Linked DNA regions of Saccharomyces cerevisiae S288C. The gene in region 1 interacts genetically with each later gene. Each region holds a gene or a part of one and is shown on either strand. Other genes may lie near its edges.

Region 1 (4,225 bases):
TCCGGTACATCTCTTTATAATGAGAAACACAAATTCCCTAATCTACCTACGGTCGATTCCACAATAAATAAAGATGGAACACCAAATTCTGTAAGCAGCACAAGCTCTAATTCCAATTCGACCTCTTATACAGGTTATTCTAAGGACGACTATGATTACTCAGTGAAAAGAAACCTGAAAAAAAGAAAAATAAATACGGATGACTGGCTGTTTTTAGCCACTACCAAACATCTCAAACACGATCAATACCTATTGGCTAACTATGATATAGATATGATAATTAGTTTTGATCCAATGTTGGAAGTTGAATTGCCCGCTTTGCAGGTACTGAGGAATAATGCCAATAAGGATATTCCGATAATAAAGCTATTAGTACAAAATTCTCCAGATCATTACTTGTTAGATTCTGAAATCAAGAATTCAAGTGTTAAATCGTCGCATTTGAGCAATAACGGTCATGTCGATGATAGCCAAGAATATGAAGAGATCAAATCCTCCTTACTATATTTTTTGCAAGCAAGGAATGCTCCGGTGAACAACTGTGAGATTGATTATATTAAATTGGTAAAGTGTTGTTTAGAGGGGAAAGATTGCAATAACATTTTACCGGTTTTGGATTTGATAACGTTAGATGAGGCCTCCAAAGATTCGAGCGATTCTGGGTTTTGGCAGCCTCAATTAACAAAATTGCAATATTCGTCTACAGAATTGCCCCTTTGGGACGGACCATTGGATATCAAAACCTACCAAACAGAGTTAATGCATAGAGCCGTCATAAGATTGCGAGATATACAGGACGAGTATGCCAAAGGCACTGTTCCACTGTACGAGAAACGATTAAACGAAACTCAACGGCAGAACCAGTTGGACGAAATAAAGAATTCTGTTGGTCTTACATTCAAGAAAAAACAAGAAGTGGAAAAATCCATTAATGACTCTGAAAAAAGGTTGAAGCATGCGATGACAGAATCTACCAAGCTACAAAATAAAATAAATCACTTACTGAAAAATAGGCAGGAACTAGAGAATTTCAACAAATTGCCCTCGAATACTATTTCATCAGAAAATCATCTGGAAGAGGGATCTGCCTTAGCAGACAAGTTGAAGGAATACATAGACAAAAATGCGACTCTTTTTAATAAGTTAAAGGAACTCCAACAAGCAAATGCGGAAAAATCAAAGCTCAATGATGAACTACGTTCCAAATATCAAATAGAATCTTCAAAAGCCGCAGAGTCCGCGCAAACATTGAAAATTTTGCAAGAATCAATGAAGTCTTTAGAAAACGAAGTTAATGGTCCACTGACTAAATTTTCCACAGAAAGCTTGAAGAAGGAGCTGGAACGTTTACAGAATGATTTTCAGTCGCTTAAAGCAAGAAACAAATTCTTAAAGAATTACATAACCTTAATGAACCGACAGTACGACTTAAAAAACAAAAACAACGTCCAGGTGGAAAAAGCTGCCGCAAATGGTACACGGTTTAGATCAACAAGATCCAATACCCCTAATTACACATGAATGTGACGTTTCCTAAAAGAAGTAGCCTGTATAATATAGAGAGATTTTATATACTTTCTTAATGAATTAGACTGTTTCTACAAGTATTTGACACTGGAAAAAAAGAGAAAGTACATAGAGATTGGCCAAATATTTAAATCTACACAGTTGCCTATCGTTTATCGCCTTATTCTTCAGAAACATTTCATCAACTACTCTGGTGCATTATTTCATGTTAGTTACCATATATACCGGCCGGCCGCATCGGGGTTTTTTGATTGAAAAAATTGGTATATTTTCAGTACACATATAAATAAAACCCTCAATTTGCCTCTCCAACCGTTATAACTATTCCAGATCCTCTTTACCGAGCAAGTAGGCTAGCTTCTGTAAAGGGATTTTTCCATCTAATACAATGAGTGGAGTATCAAATAAAACAGTATCAATTAATGGTTGGTATGGCATGCCAATTCATTTACTAAGGGAAGAAGGCGACTTTGCCCAGTTTATGATTCTAACCATCAACGAATTAAAAATAGCCATACATGGTTACCTCAGAAATACCCCATGGTACAACATGTTGAAGGATTATTTGTTTGTGATCTTTTGTTACAAGCTAATAAGTAATTTTTTTTATCTGTTGAAAGTTTATGGGCCGGTGAGGTTAGCAGTGAGAACATACGAGCATAGTTCCAGAAGATTGTTTCGTTGGTTATTGGACTCACCATTTTTGAGGGGTACCGTAGAAAAGGAAGTCACAAAGGTCAAACAATCGATCGAAGACGAACTAATTAGATCGGACTCTCAGTTAATGAATTTCCCACAGTTGCCATCCAATGGGATACCTCAGGATGATGTTATTGAAGAGCTAAATAAATTGAACGACTTGATACCACATACCCAATGGAAGGAAGGAAAGGTCTCTGGTGCCGTTTACCACGGTGGTGATGATTTGATCCACTTACAAACAATCGCATACGAAAAATATTGCGTTGCCAATCAATTACATCCCGATGTCTTTCCTGCCGTACGTAAAATGGAATCCGAAGTGGTTTCTATGGTTTTAAGAATGTTTAATGCCCCTTCTGATACAGGTTGTGGTACCACAACTTCAGGTGGTACAGAATCCTTGCTTTTAGCATGTCTGAGCGCTAAAATGTATGCCCTTCATCATCGTGGAATCACCGAACCAGAAATAATTGCTCCCGTAACTGCACATGCTGGGTTTGACAAAGCTGCTTATTACTTTGGCATGAAGCTACGCCACGTGGAGCTAGATCCAACGACATATCAAGTGGACCTGGGAAAAGTGAAAAAATTCATCAATAAGAACACAATTTTACTGGTCGGTTCCGCTCCAAACTTTCCTCATGGTATTGCCGATGATATTGAAGGATTGGGTAAAATAGCACAAAAATATAAACTTCCTTTACACGTCGACAGTTGTCTAGGTTCCTTTATTGTTTCATTTATGGAAAAGGCTGGTTACAAAAATCTGCCATTACTTGACTTTAGAGTCCCGGGAGTCACCTCAATATCATGTGACACTCATAAATATGGATTTGCACCAAAAGGCTCGTCAGTTATAATGTATAGAAACAGCGACTTACGAATGCATCAGTATTACGTAAATCCTGCTTGGACTGGCGGGTTATATGGCTCTCCTACATTAGCAGGGTCCAGGCCTGGTGCTATTGTCGTAGGTTGTTGGGCCACTATGGTCAACATGGGTGAAAATGGGTACATTGAGTCGTGCCAAGAAATAGTCGGTGCAGCAATGAAGTTTAAAAAATACATCCAGGAAAACATTCCAGACCTGAATATAATGGGCAACCCTAGATATTCAGTCATTTCATTTTCTTCAAAGACCTTGAACATACACGAACTATCTGACAGGTTGTCCAAGAAAGGCTGGCATTTCAATGCCCTACAAAAGCCGGTTGCACTACACATGGCCTTCACGAGATTGAGCGCTCATGTTGTGGATGAGATCTGCGACATTTTACGTACTACCGTGCAAGAGTTGAAGAGCGAATCAAATTCTAAACCATCCCCAGACGGAACTAGCGCTCTATATGGTGTCGCCGGGAGCGTTAAAACTGCTGGCGTTGCAGACAAATTGATTGTGGGATTCCTAGACGCATTATACAAGTTGGGTCCAGGAGAGGATACCGCCACCAAGTAGCTATATAGAATCAAATCTCATACATAATTTAAAGAACGAGAGTGCAATGTGATGATTGTGATTCCTGATCCTATGTCACGGACGACGACTTGTATCACCTTGAATTTTCTGACCAAAGGGGCCGAGTCGCTTCACGAGGGGATGAGAAAGGAAAAGAAGGGAAAACTAAACTTATATAACGCAGGTGTGTCTTTCTACCATTGCCATCAAGTTATTAAAGGCCACGAACAGGAACGCTAGAGACCTGAGTTTGTCATTTGTTTAGTTCAAGGATTAAATAAACAATCCTTCTACAAATAAGTCCTTTCTTTCACCATCGTCTTAAGACCACTGCCTCCAACGAAAACTAACCTAAAAGAGTTTAGATCACGAGTATTTTCGCTCTTTCCCTCCTTCCCCTGGTTTTTTCTCGTTAGTTCTTTTCATTTAAAAACTCTTCTCTTGTCAAGAATTTAAAAGACGAAGAGTCCAACACCGACTGATTTTCTAACAGCAAAGGAACGAAGTTTTGCCGTGCAAACAATAATTTCTAAATTATAA
Region 2 (3,489 bases), on another chromosome or scaffold:
TACAATTTTATCTTCTAGATAATATGCTCTTATTTTTAAAGGCCAAAGCAGTTAATAAATGGCACCAGCATAAGGTATTCCAAAGGCCCATTCCATTGCCATTGTTATTTGCATGTCCAGGTGAAGATATGCCTGCGTTGAGGAAATATATTGGAGACCACCCAGATTGTTCAGGAACTGTAATTCAACCAGAATACAACACGAGTAATCCTAAAAACGCAATAACTTTCTTATACTACGGTGCCAAGCAGAGATATCAAGTTACATTATATGCTGCGCAATACGCTGGATTGCAAACGCTTTTGGAAAAAATAAAGCAAGGACAAGCAGCTATTATAAGCAAAACGGAGATGTTCAATGTAACGAAAATGAGCGATAGGTTCTTCGATTACACCAACAAAATTAACAGTGTTACTTCCTGTGATGGGGGTAGAAAACTTCTGATTGCAACGAACTCTGGATTGTATATGAGCAACATTAAAAGACAGCAGAATAAAGATCATAGACATAAAAGCTCTGCTTTTTTTTCAACTCCAATCCAACTAGTACAAAGAAATAATATCACTCAAATTGCTGTATTAGAAGAATTCAAATCAATCATACTTTTAATTGATAAAAAATTATACAGTTGTCCGCTGTCATTAATCGAAGCAGAAGGTAATGGGACATCTTTCTTCAAAAAGCATCACAAGGAACTGATCAATCATGTGAGTTTCTTCGCAGAAGGAGATTGCAATGGTAAGAGATTAATCGTGACTGCACACAGTTCATCGCATTCAATTAAGTACTTCGAGCATGAACATCCATTATTGGCCGAAAAAAATGGTAGTGGTAGCGGTAACAAAAAAAGTCTCAAGAAAAAAATCACCGAGGTTATTTTTGATTCTGAACCTGTCTCTATTTCATTTCTCAAGGCCAACCTATGCATTGGCTGTAAAAAGGGTTTTCAGATCGTTAGCATTTCACAGAATGCTCATGAATCCTTGTTAGATCCGGCCGATACATCATTAGAGTTTGCACTAAGGGATACTTTGAAACCAATGGCAATCTATCGTGTGGGAAATATGTTTTTGCTGTGTTACACAGAATTTGCCTTCTTTGTCAATAATCAGGGTTGGAGAAAGAAAGAATCGCATATTATTCATTGGGAGGGAGAGCCCCAAAAATTTGCAATTTGGTACCCGTACATCTTGGCATTCGACAGCAACTTCATTGAGATCAGAAAGATTGAAACTGGCGAATTAATTCGTTGCGTCCTTGCTGATAAGATTCGACTTCTACAAACAAGTACTCAAGAAATCCTGTACTGCTACGAGGATTATCGCGGGTATGATACAGTTGCGTCGTTAGATTTCTGGGGTTAAGATAGCAACGTATATAGACTTTCCTTATTTTCTTTAGAATAAAAAGCATAACTAAAGTTGTAAAAGGAGCAGAATTATGAATAATAAACATTGATGACAATAGTGGAAAACGACATAAATAATAATTTTATAATATAATAATGATAATTCACCGTCAGAGGGATTTGTATGCAAATGATTGATGACGCGAGAAAAAAAAACGCGAAATTTTTCTTCCCAAAGCTTCGAAGTTTTTATTCCGTCCACAAAGTGAAAAATTTTCAGAAAATTTTCCAGACTGTGAATAAACAAAAGGTTGGCTTACGCATTTGGCTTGTCTTTTTTTTTTTTCACAGGTTCTTAGTAAATAATTGTATAAAATATTTATCTGGAGTCTTCTGTTTGTTGTTTAGCCTTGTTTGAAGTTTTATTTAACTTATTACCCCAGTTAGGTACTGTGTATTTTCCGCATATCTGGTGTCTTTTTATTTGGTCATTGATTGGTTTTTGACAGCTCTTCACTCGCTTCAAGCTTACTTCTAGTTTATTTATTCGGCTTTTTTCCGTTTGTTTACGAAACATAAACAGTCATGAACACTACCACATCTACTGTTATAGCAGCAGTTGCCGACCAGTTCCAGTCTTTGAACTCTTCTTCTTCATGTTTCTTGAAGGTTCATGTTCCTTCCATTGAGAACCCATTCGGTATTGAATTATGGCCAATTTTCTCCAAAGTGTTTGAATACTTTAGTGGCTATCCAGCTGAGCAATTCGAGTTTATTCACAATAAGACTTTCTTGGCTAACGGGTATCATGCTGTTAGTATTATTATCGTTTATTACATTATTATCTTTGGTGGCCAAGCTATCTTACGCGCCTTGAACGCCTCTCCATTAAAGTTTAAATTGCTTTTCGAGATACACAACTTGTTTTTGACTTCTATTTCTCTAGTTTTATGGTTGCTGATGTTAGAACAGTTGGTTCCTATGGTTTATCACAACGGTCTATTCTGGTCTATCTGCTCTAAGGAAGCCTTCGCACCAAAATTAGTTACTCTTTACTATTTGAACTATTTGACCAAATTCGTAGAATTGATTGACACTGTGTTTTTAGTTTTGAGAAGAAAGAAGTTATTGTTTTTGCACACTTACCATCACGGTGCCACCGCTTTGTTGTGCTACACTCAATTAATTGGTCGTACTTCTGTTGAATGGGTAGTTATCCTACTAAACTTGGGTGTTCACGTTATCATGTACTGGTACTACTTCTTGAGTTCATGTGGTATTAGAGTTTGGTGGAAGCAATGGGTCACTAGATTCCAAATTATTCAATTTTTGATTGACTTGGTATTTGTTTACTTTGCTACCTATACATTCTATGCTCACAAATACTTGGACGGTATTTTACCAAACAAGGGTACTTGTTATGGTACTCAGGCTGCTGCTGCTTATGGGTATTTGATTCTAACATCTTATTTGCTTTTGTTTATTTCCTTCTACATCCAATCTTACAAGAAAGGTGGTAAAAAGACAGTCAAGAAGGAATCTGAAGTTTCCGGCTCCGTTGCATCCGGTTCTTCTACTGGTGTCAAGACCTCTAACACCAAGGTCTCTTCCAGGAAAGCTTAAATAGGAAGCGAGAATTTTTGACAGCGAATGAAAAAGAAAAAAATTAAATGTTAACATTTTCTTTATATTAAATATGTACGATAAATGAAATCATTATTATAGAAATGATAGATTATTGGCTTGGTGTTTTTCCCATTTTGATTAATCATTTCCTTAGCTGCCCAAAGAATTGCACGCTTACAGTGAGGAGTAGTGATACATTACAATTATAAAATAAAATTATATAGCAGCTAAAATTTAAAACAAACAGACTTTGTTCCTTTGTATGTCCTATGGAAGATACTGACTTGCAGTTTGTAAAGTGTCCAAGTCGTAATCCACTTTACTTGCCACGAATTGATCATTGAATAATTTAATTTTAATAATCTCTTGAGTTAAATCGGGATGTACTCTGGGAATGAAGTCATTTAAAAATGAGTACTCTCCCCTAATGGAGGAAGATGACTGACATTGCATTATCTTGAACAAAATTCTAATTATCGGCCCAGCATCATTATCTAAGTATTGGGACCAGAACG
Region 3 (3,178 bases), on another chromosome or scaffold:
GGCGCATGATGAAGTTGGAGAAGAGAGCAATAAGTCCAGTGTAATAGAAACCAACAATGGGGTACAAATAATGGATCCAAAAGGAGCTGTTCAGAATGGTTATTATCCAGAGGAGACCAAAGAACTTGACTTCAGTTTAGAGAATGCGTTACAGAGAAAGAAACACAAATCTGCACCAGAGCATAAAACAAGTTATTGGAGTGTTCGTGAATCTCAACTCTTTCCAGAATTGTTGAAGGAGTTTGGCTCTCAATGGTCTCTCATATCAGAAAAACTGGGTACCAAATCTACTACAATGGTAAGGAATTACTACCAAAGAAATGCAGCTCGCAATGGATGGAAATTACTGGTTGATGAAACCGACTTAAAGCGAGATGGGACTAGTTCAGAATCTGTACAACAATCTCAAATTTTGATACAACCAGAACGACCAAACATCAATGCCTATAGTAATATTCCTCCTCAACAAAGACCGGCTTTGGGTTATTTTGTTGGACAACCAACTCATGGGCATAATACATCTATTTCATCTATCGATGGCTCTATAAGACCATTTGGGCCTGATTTTCATCGTGATACCTTTTCTAAAATTAGTGCTCCTTTAACCACTTTACCACCACCAAGACTACCATCTATTCAGTTTCCTCGTTCAGAAATGGCAGAACCTACAGTGACAGATTTGCGTAACAGGCCCTTAGACCATATTGACACGTTGGCTGATGCAGCTTCGTCAGTAACAAATAATCAAAACTTCAGTAATGAAAGGAATGCAATTGACATTGGCCGTAAATCGACGACAATCAGCAATCTATTGAATAATTCGGATCGAAGCATGAAATCTTCTTTCCAAAGCGCTTCAAGACACGAAGCACAGCTCGAAGACACTCCCAGCATGAACAATATTGTAGTACAAGAAATAAAACCGAATATTACTACGCCAAGATCGAGTTCTATTTCTGCATTACTAAATCCTGTAAATGGGAATGGGCAATCAAACCCAGATGGAAGGCCGTTGCTGCCATTTCAGCATGCTATTTCTCAAGGCACTCCTACTTTCCCTTTACCGGCCCCTCGCACTAGTCCAATAAGTCGTGCGCCTCCAAAGTTCAATTTTTCGAATGATCCGTTGGCAGCTTTGGCTGCGGTTGCCTCCGCGCCAGATGCAATGAGCAGTTTTTTATCTAAAAAGGAAAATAATAATTGAACAAACGGCTGAGACGGGCAATACATATGCTCTACTTCTTTTCCATCCAATGGTTGGTGAAACTCTCGAGCATACATTACCTTACGTGTGTTAGTGTACTATATTATATATATATATATGTATATATATAAAGGGAGGAGTTTTTAATTATAATTGTAATTTCGTATTTTTTCTGCATTATACAGTTTTTTCCGATTTTAAACGACTTTATTTAAGTGTCGTGTAAATATGTCACATTTTATTTTTGTACGTATTCACATGTCCTGGCGTGCGGCCATTGCTGAAAATCGCAAAACCCACAGAGAAATAAACATCGCGAAAAAGTCAATGAAAAATTGGAAAATATTTTTCATTTCACTATTATCCACAAGCAATTTTGTACAAAGTGAAAAGGTTGAACTAATTATCTTCGTCTAGAAGCCATGAATTCACTCGTTACTCAATATGCTGCTCCGTTGTTCGAGCGTTATCCCCAACTTCATGACTATTTACCAACTTTGGAGCGACCATTTTTTAATATTTCGTTGTGGGAACATTTCGATGATGTCGTCACTCGTGTAACTAACGGTAGATTTGTTCCAAGCGAATTCCAATTCATTGCAGGTGAATTACCATTAAGCACTTTGCCCCCTGTGCTATACGCCATCACTGCCTATTACGTTATTATTTTTGGTGGCAGGTTTTTGTTAAGTAAGTCGAAACCATTTAAATTAAATGGCCTTTTCCAATTGCATAATTTGGTTTTAACTTCACTTTCATTGACGCTTTTATTGCTTATGGTTGAACAATTAGTGCCAATTATTGTTCAGCACGGGTTATACTTCGCTATCTGTAATATTGGTGCTTGGACTCAACCGCTCGTTACATTATATTACATGAATTACATTGTCAAGTTTATTGAATTTATAGACACCTTTTTCTTGGTGCTAAAACATAAAAAATTGACATTTTTGCATACTTATCACCATGGCGCTACTGCCTTATTATGTTACACCCAATTGATGGGCACCACATCTATTTCTTGGGTCCCTATTTCATTGAACCTTGGTGTTCACGTGGTTATGTATTGGTACTATTTCTTGGCTGCCAGAGGCATCAGGGTCTGGTGGAAGGAATGGGTTACCAGATTTCAAATTATCCAATTTGTTTTGGATATCGGTTTCATATATTTTGCTGTCTACCAAAAAGCAGTTCACTTGTATTTCCCAATTTTGCCACATTGTGGTGACTGTGTGGGTTCAACAACTGCCACCTTTGCAGGTTGTGCCATTATTTCTTCATATTTGGTACTATTTATTTCATTTTACATTAACGTTTATAAACGTAAAGGCACCAAAACCAGTAGAGTGGTAAAGCGTGCCCACGGCGGTGTTGCCGCAAAGGTTAATGAGTATGTTAACGTTGACTTGAAAAACGTTCCTACTCCATCTCCATCACCAAAACCTCAACACAGAAGAAAAAGGTAAGTGTAAAATCTTTGAAAGAATTTAAGTATTCAACTTTCGTATATTCGTTTTTTCTTAGTGGATCTATTGTTACTATTATCACTATTATTATATTGTAAAAGACCGGATGGTTTTGTTATATATTACATACACATGTTATCGTTGAAAAAAGTTTTCCGTTTCCTTTCGACAGTCATCAGATAATTTTATCCGAGTCTTTTATATGTTAAATCTTGTTGACAAATCGTCCGCTCTAACCCTAGATAACAACAATGATCTTTTTATCATTTCTGGCGTTATTTTAGCGCCTCCTCCCACTAATGTTAATTGCTTATAGTTACCTGAAGGAGCAGCGAGGATGGAGATCGTACTGTGTATACTTGTTTCTTCCGCTTCAGTATCTAGGTCTGCTATTAGCACAGTGTTCAATTTATCCATATCAATGTCCACTTCCTCTTCTTCAGAGTTATCAGAGTTTTGTAATTGGCATTCGGGGTCTAACTCCACTATCCCATAATTTGAAGCAAAT
Region 4 (2,869 bases), on another chromosome or scaffold:
GGTCATTACTAATTTGACCAGAGACGATGAGGTCTACATTGTTAATTTCCCTCCTGATTGTTTTGAGTACATCATGGAGATATATACAAAAGCGCATGATGATTTGTATAATCATCCTGTGGAGAAATTTTTTGACAGACCATCAAGTAGCTTTGTTTCGAATGCAAAGGGATTTTTTGGACTGAGTAGCAATAATTCAATTTCGAGCAACAATGAGCAGGATATTTTACATCAAAAGCCCGCTATTATTGTTTTGAGAGAAGACTTGGATTATTATTGTGTACCTCAGGAGGAATTTCAGTTTGATTCCACTAATGAAGAAAATAATGAGGATTTATTGCGACATTTTATGGCTCAAGTGAAAATGGCTGCTGGCAGTTATTTAACTTCAAAAACATCGATTTTCCAAGGTTTGTATTCTTCGAATAGACTAAAGCAACAACAGCAACAACAGAAAATTGAAAAGGGGTCCAATTCTTCTTCAAATACTAAATCTACTTCGAAAAAATTGGGACCTGCTGAACAACATTTAATGGATATGTTGTGCTCCTCCGGATTCACCAAGGAAACTTGTTGGGGTAACAGAACTCAAGAAACTGGCAAAACGGTTATAAGTTCACTGTCTCTTTGCCGATTGGCTAACGAGACAACTGAAGGATTTAGGCAAAAATTTAACGAGGCTAAGGCTAAGTGGGAGGCAGAGCACAAACCTTCTCAAGACAACTTCATCACCCCAATGCAATCTAACATATCGATTAACTCTTTATCTGCAAGTAAATCTAACAGTACCATTTCTACAGCAAGGAATTTAACAAGCGGAAGTACAGCACCTGCTACAGCACGTGATAAGAGAAAATCAAGGCTGTCGAAACTAGCAGATAACGTTCGTTCGCACTCTTCCTCGAGACATAGTTCGCAGACCAGAAGTAAACCTCCGGAGTTGCCCAAATTGTATGATCTAGTGCCAAAACCTAATATCAACGCTAAGCTACTATTATTTTGGAGAAAACCTGCTCGTAAATGTTGGTGGGGTGAAGAAGACATAGAGCTAGAAGTGGAAGTCTTCGGCTCTTGGAAAGATGAATCAAAGAAAATCATTGAATTGATCTTGCCAACAAACGTTGATCCTGAAGCAGAACTACATAAAATCATTGTACCCGTCCGATTACATATTCGTAGAGTTTGGACTTTAGAGTTGAGCGTTATTGGGGTGCAGTGAGTGTATATAATATATTAGAGAAAGAAATGGAAAGAGATCGGGCCAAAGACACAATATGTAACAGTATGGTTTCTTGGTATCCCCTCTTTCTATTCCTCCCTTGTTACGAAATGATGTATATTTGTATCTCTATAACAAAATTATATGAACTGTCTCAAAGCACATGAAGAAGGAAAAAAGGTGGCGTCGAAGACTGCTAGATATTTCTCTTCGTATCTTCCCATCCCCTTCTGCAAATAACGGTTTTTCCATTGTCTATTTCAAAGTTACCCGCATAATAAAGTCGTACATTGTTCGAAAAATATCACTCAAAAGCAGCATTGATCCGGTATAAAACAATAGAAATTTTTTTTTTTTTTTATTGTTATAATTATTCTGACTCACGTCTGGATTTCGTTAGTTCGTCATTTTTTCTTAATTTCAGTAAACTGTGATCACGAGTCTGCAACATCATTATACACCGTATATCTGTATTATTAAGAATCAGGGTCTCCTTTTAATTTGCTGTTGAAAAACATCTTAAGGGAGTGTGATTGTCTGTTGATGTATACTAGTCTGGTAAAGCTAAATATTCTTATAAAAAACTTTTGGTAACCCATTATTACAGGAAACAAGATCCATTTATCAGATAAAAATTATAAAACATTAAGGAATCAGGACCTTTTTTTCGACAATCATGATAGAGGCGTTGGAAATAGTTCTATTGCTCGTTATACAATCACTTCAATATATCTGTCGCACATGCATAGCTTTTTTGCTAATACCATTCTTAGGCCTGTATGCATTCGATCTCTTCCTATACGTTTATCGGATGATACTTTATCTGTCACAAATGTTCAATTACAAGAGAAAACTAGGACGTTCTAAAACAAATAATAGGCCGCATAGTCCCAGGCTACATAAGATATACAGTAGTGGGGATTGCATGGATACCTTAATTGGCCAAGTAAGGGATTTGAGAGTATTTTTGTTATCCACGATCCACAGCCACTCTAAAAGATTCTTTTCTACGAGATTTCAGACAAAATCAGGCATTAACTCTGCTATTGACGCGAATGATGTTGAAACAACATCTGACGTATCTAGTTTTACAAATTTACATTTAACAAGGTCATCGGAAGAAGGTTATTATATCGCAGGATCGATATAATAAAAGAAAATATGGAAAACCCTTTCATGGGTGTTTGCACGGAATTAGGATCACATAATGAATACACACAGGAGGAAAACGGCTCGATACATGATTTGGCCATAACGGCAAAAGCGTATACTCACATAATCGTATGCAAACATATCACACAAATCTATCATACGTATGTATACATTTATATAATATATGCATATGGCGGATAATATATTATTGTTCACTGATTTTGTCACTTTATACGTAGTCTTCCTCGCATTATTTAGAGACGAGGGAGAAAAATGGGCCAAACATATTTGATCATTGTACGTGATGAATCCATGTCCTGTAGGCTTCTCAAGAGAACAAAAACAAAACACAGACAAAATAATTGAAAAATGGACGGTATGTTTGCTATGCCAGGCGCAGCTGCAGGTGCGGCCTCCCCACAACAACCAAAATCAAGATTCCAAGCTTTCAAGGAATCTCCACTATACACAATTGCACTAAACGGTGCCTTCTTCGTT

The links.
Region 2: mutations in DPL1 (region 1) and ELO3 together harm fitness more than expected from each alone (negative genetic interaction), as found in Saccharomyces cerevisiae (5 studies listed by BioGRID).
Region 3: mutations in DPL1 (region 1) and ELO2 together harm fitness more than expected from each alone (negative genetic interaction), as found in Saccharomyces cerevisiae (4 studies listed by BioGRID).
Region 4: mutations in DPL1 (region 1) and IRC23 together harm fitness more than expected from each alone (negative genetic interaction), as found in Saccharomyces cerevisiae (2 studies listed by BioGRID).

What each region holds. Positions count from the first base shown.
Region 1 is NC_001136.10:1,049,919-1,054,143, reverse strand, and holds DPL1 (sphinganine-1-phosphate aldolase DPL1), read left to right. Parts: upstream 1-1,915; coding exon 1,916-3,685; downstream 3,686-4,225. Other genes in the region: HDA2 (Hda2p), read left to right, coding at 1-1,521. UniProt on the Saccharomyces cerevisiae protein: Sphingosine-1-phosphate lyase that cleaves phosphorylated sphingoid bases (PSBs), such as sphingosine-1-phosphate, into fatty aldehydes and phosphoethanolamine. Prefers C-16 dihydrosphingosine-l-phosphate (DHS-P) as a substrate.
Region 2 is NC_001144.5:865,421-868,909, forward strand, and holds ELO3 (fatty acid elongase ELO3), read left to right. Parts: upstream 1-1,933; coding exon 1,934-2,971; downstream 2,972-3,489. Other genes in the region: Rho family guanine nucleotide exchange factor ROM2, read left to right, coding at 1-1,364; VID22 (Vid22p), read right to left, coding at 3,242-3,489.
Region 3 is NC_001135.5:188,966-192,143, forward strand, and holds ELO2 (fatty acid elongase ELO2), read left to right. Parts: upstream 1-1,626; coding exon 1,627-2,670; downstream 2,671-3,178. Other genes in the region: SNT1 (Snt1p), read left to right, coding at 1-1,204; exosome non-catalytic core subunit RRP43, read right to left, coding at 2,869-3,178. UniProt on the Saccharomyces cerevisiae protein: Component of a microsomal membrane-bound long-chain fatty acid elongation system, which produces the 20-26-carbon very long-chain fatty acids (VLCFA) from long-chain fatty acid precursors and is involved ceramide and inositol sphingolipid biosynthesis.
Region 4 is NC_001147.6:411,112-413,980, forward strand, and holds IRC23 (Irc23p), read left to right. Parts: upstream 1-1,895; coding exon 1,896-2,369; downstream 2,370-2,869. Other genes in the region: WHI2 (Whi2p), read left to right, coding at 1-1,219; TOM6 (Tom6p), read left to right, coding at 2,741-2,869. UniProt on the Saccharomyces cerevisiae protein: Is probably involved in a pathway contributing to genomic integrity.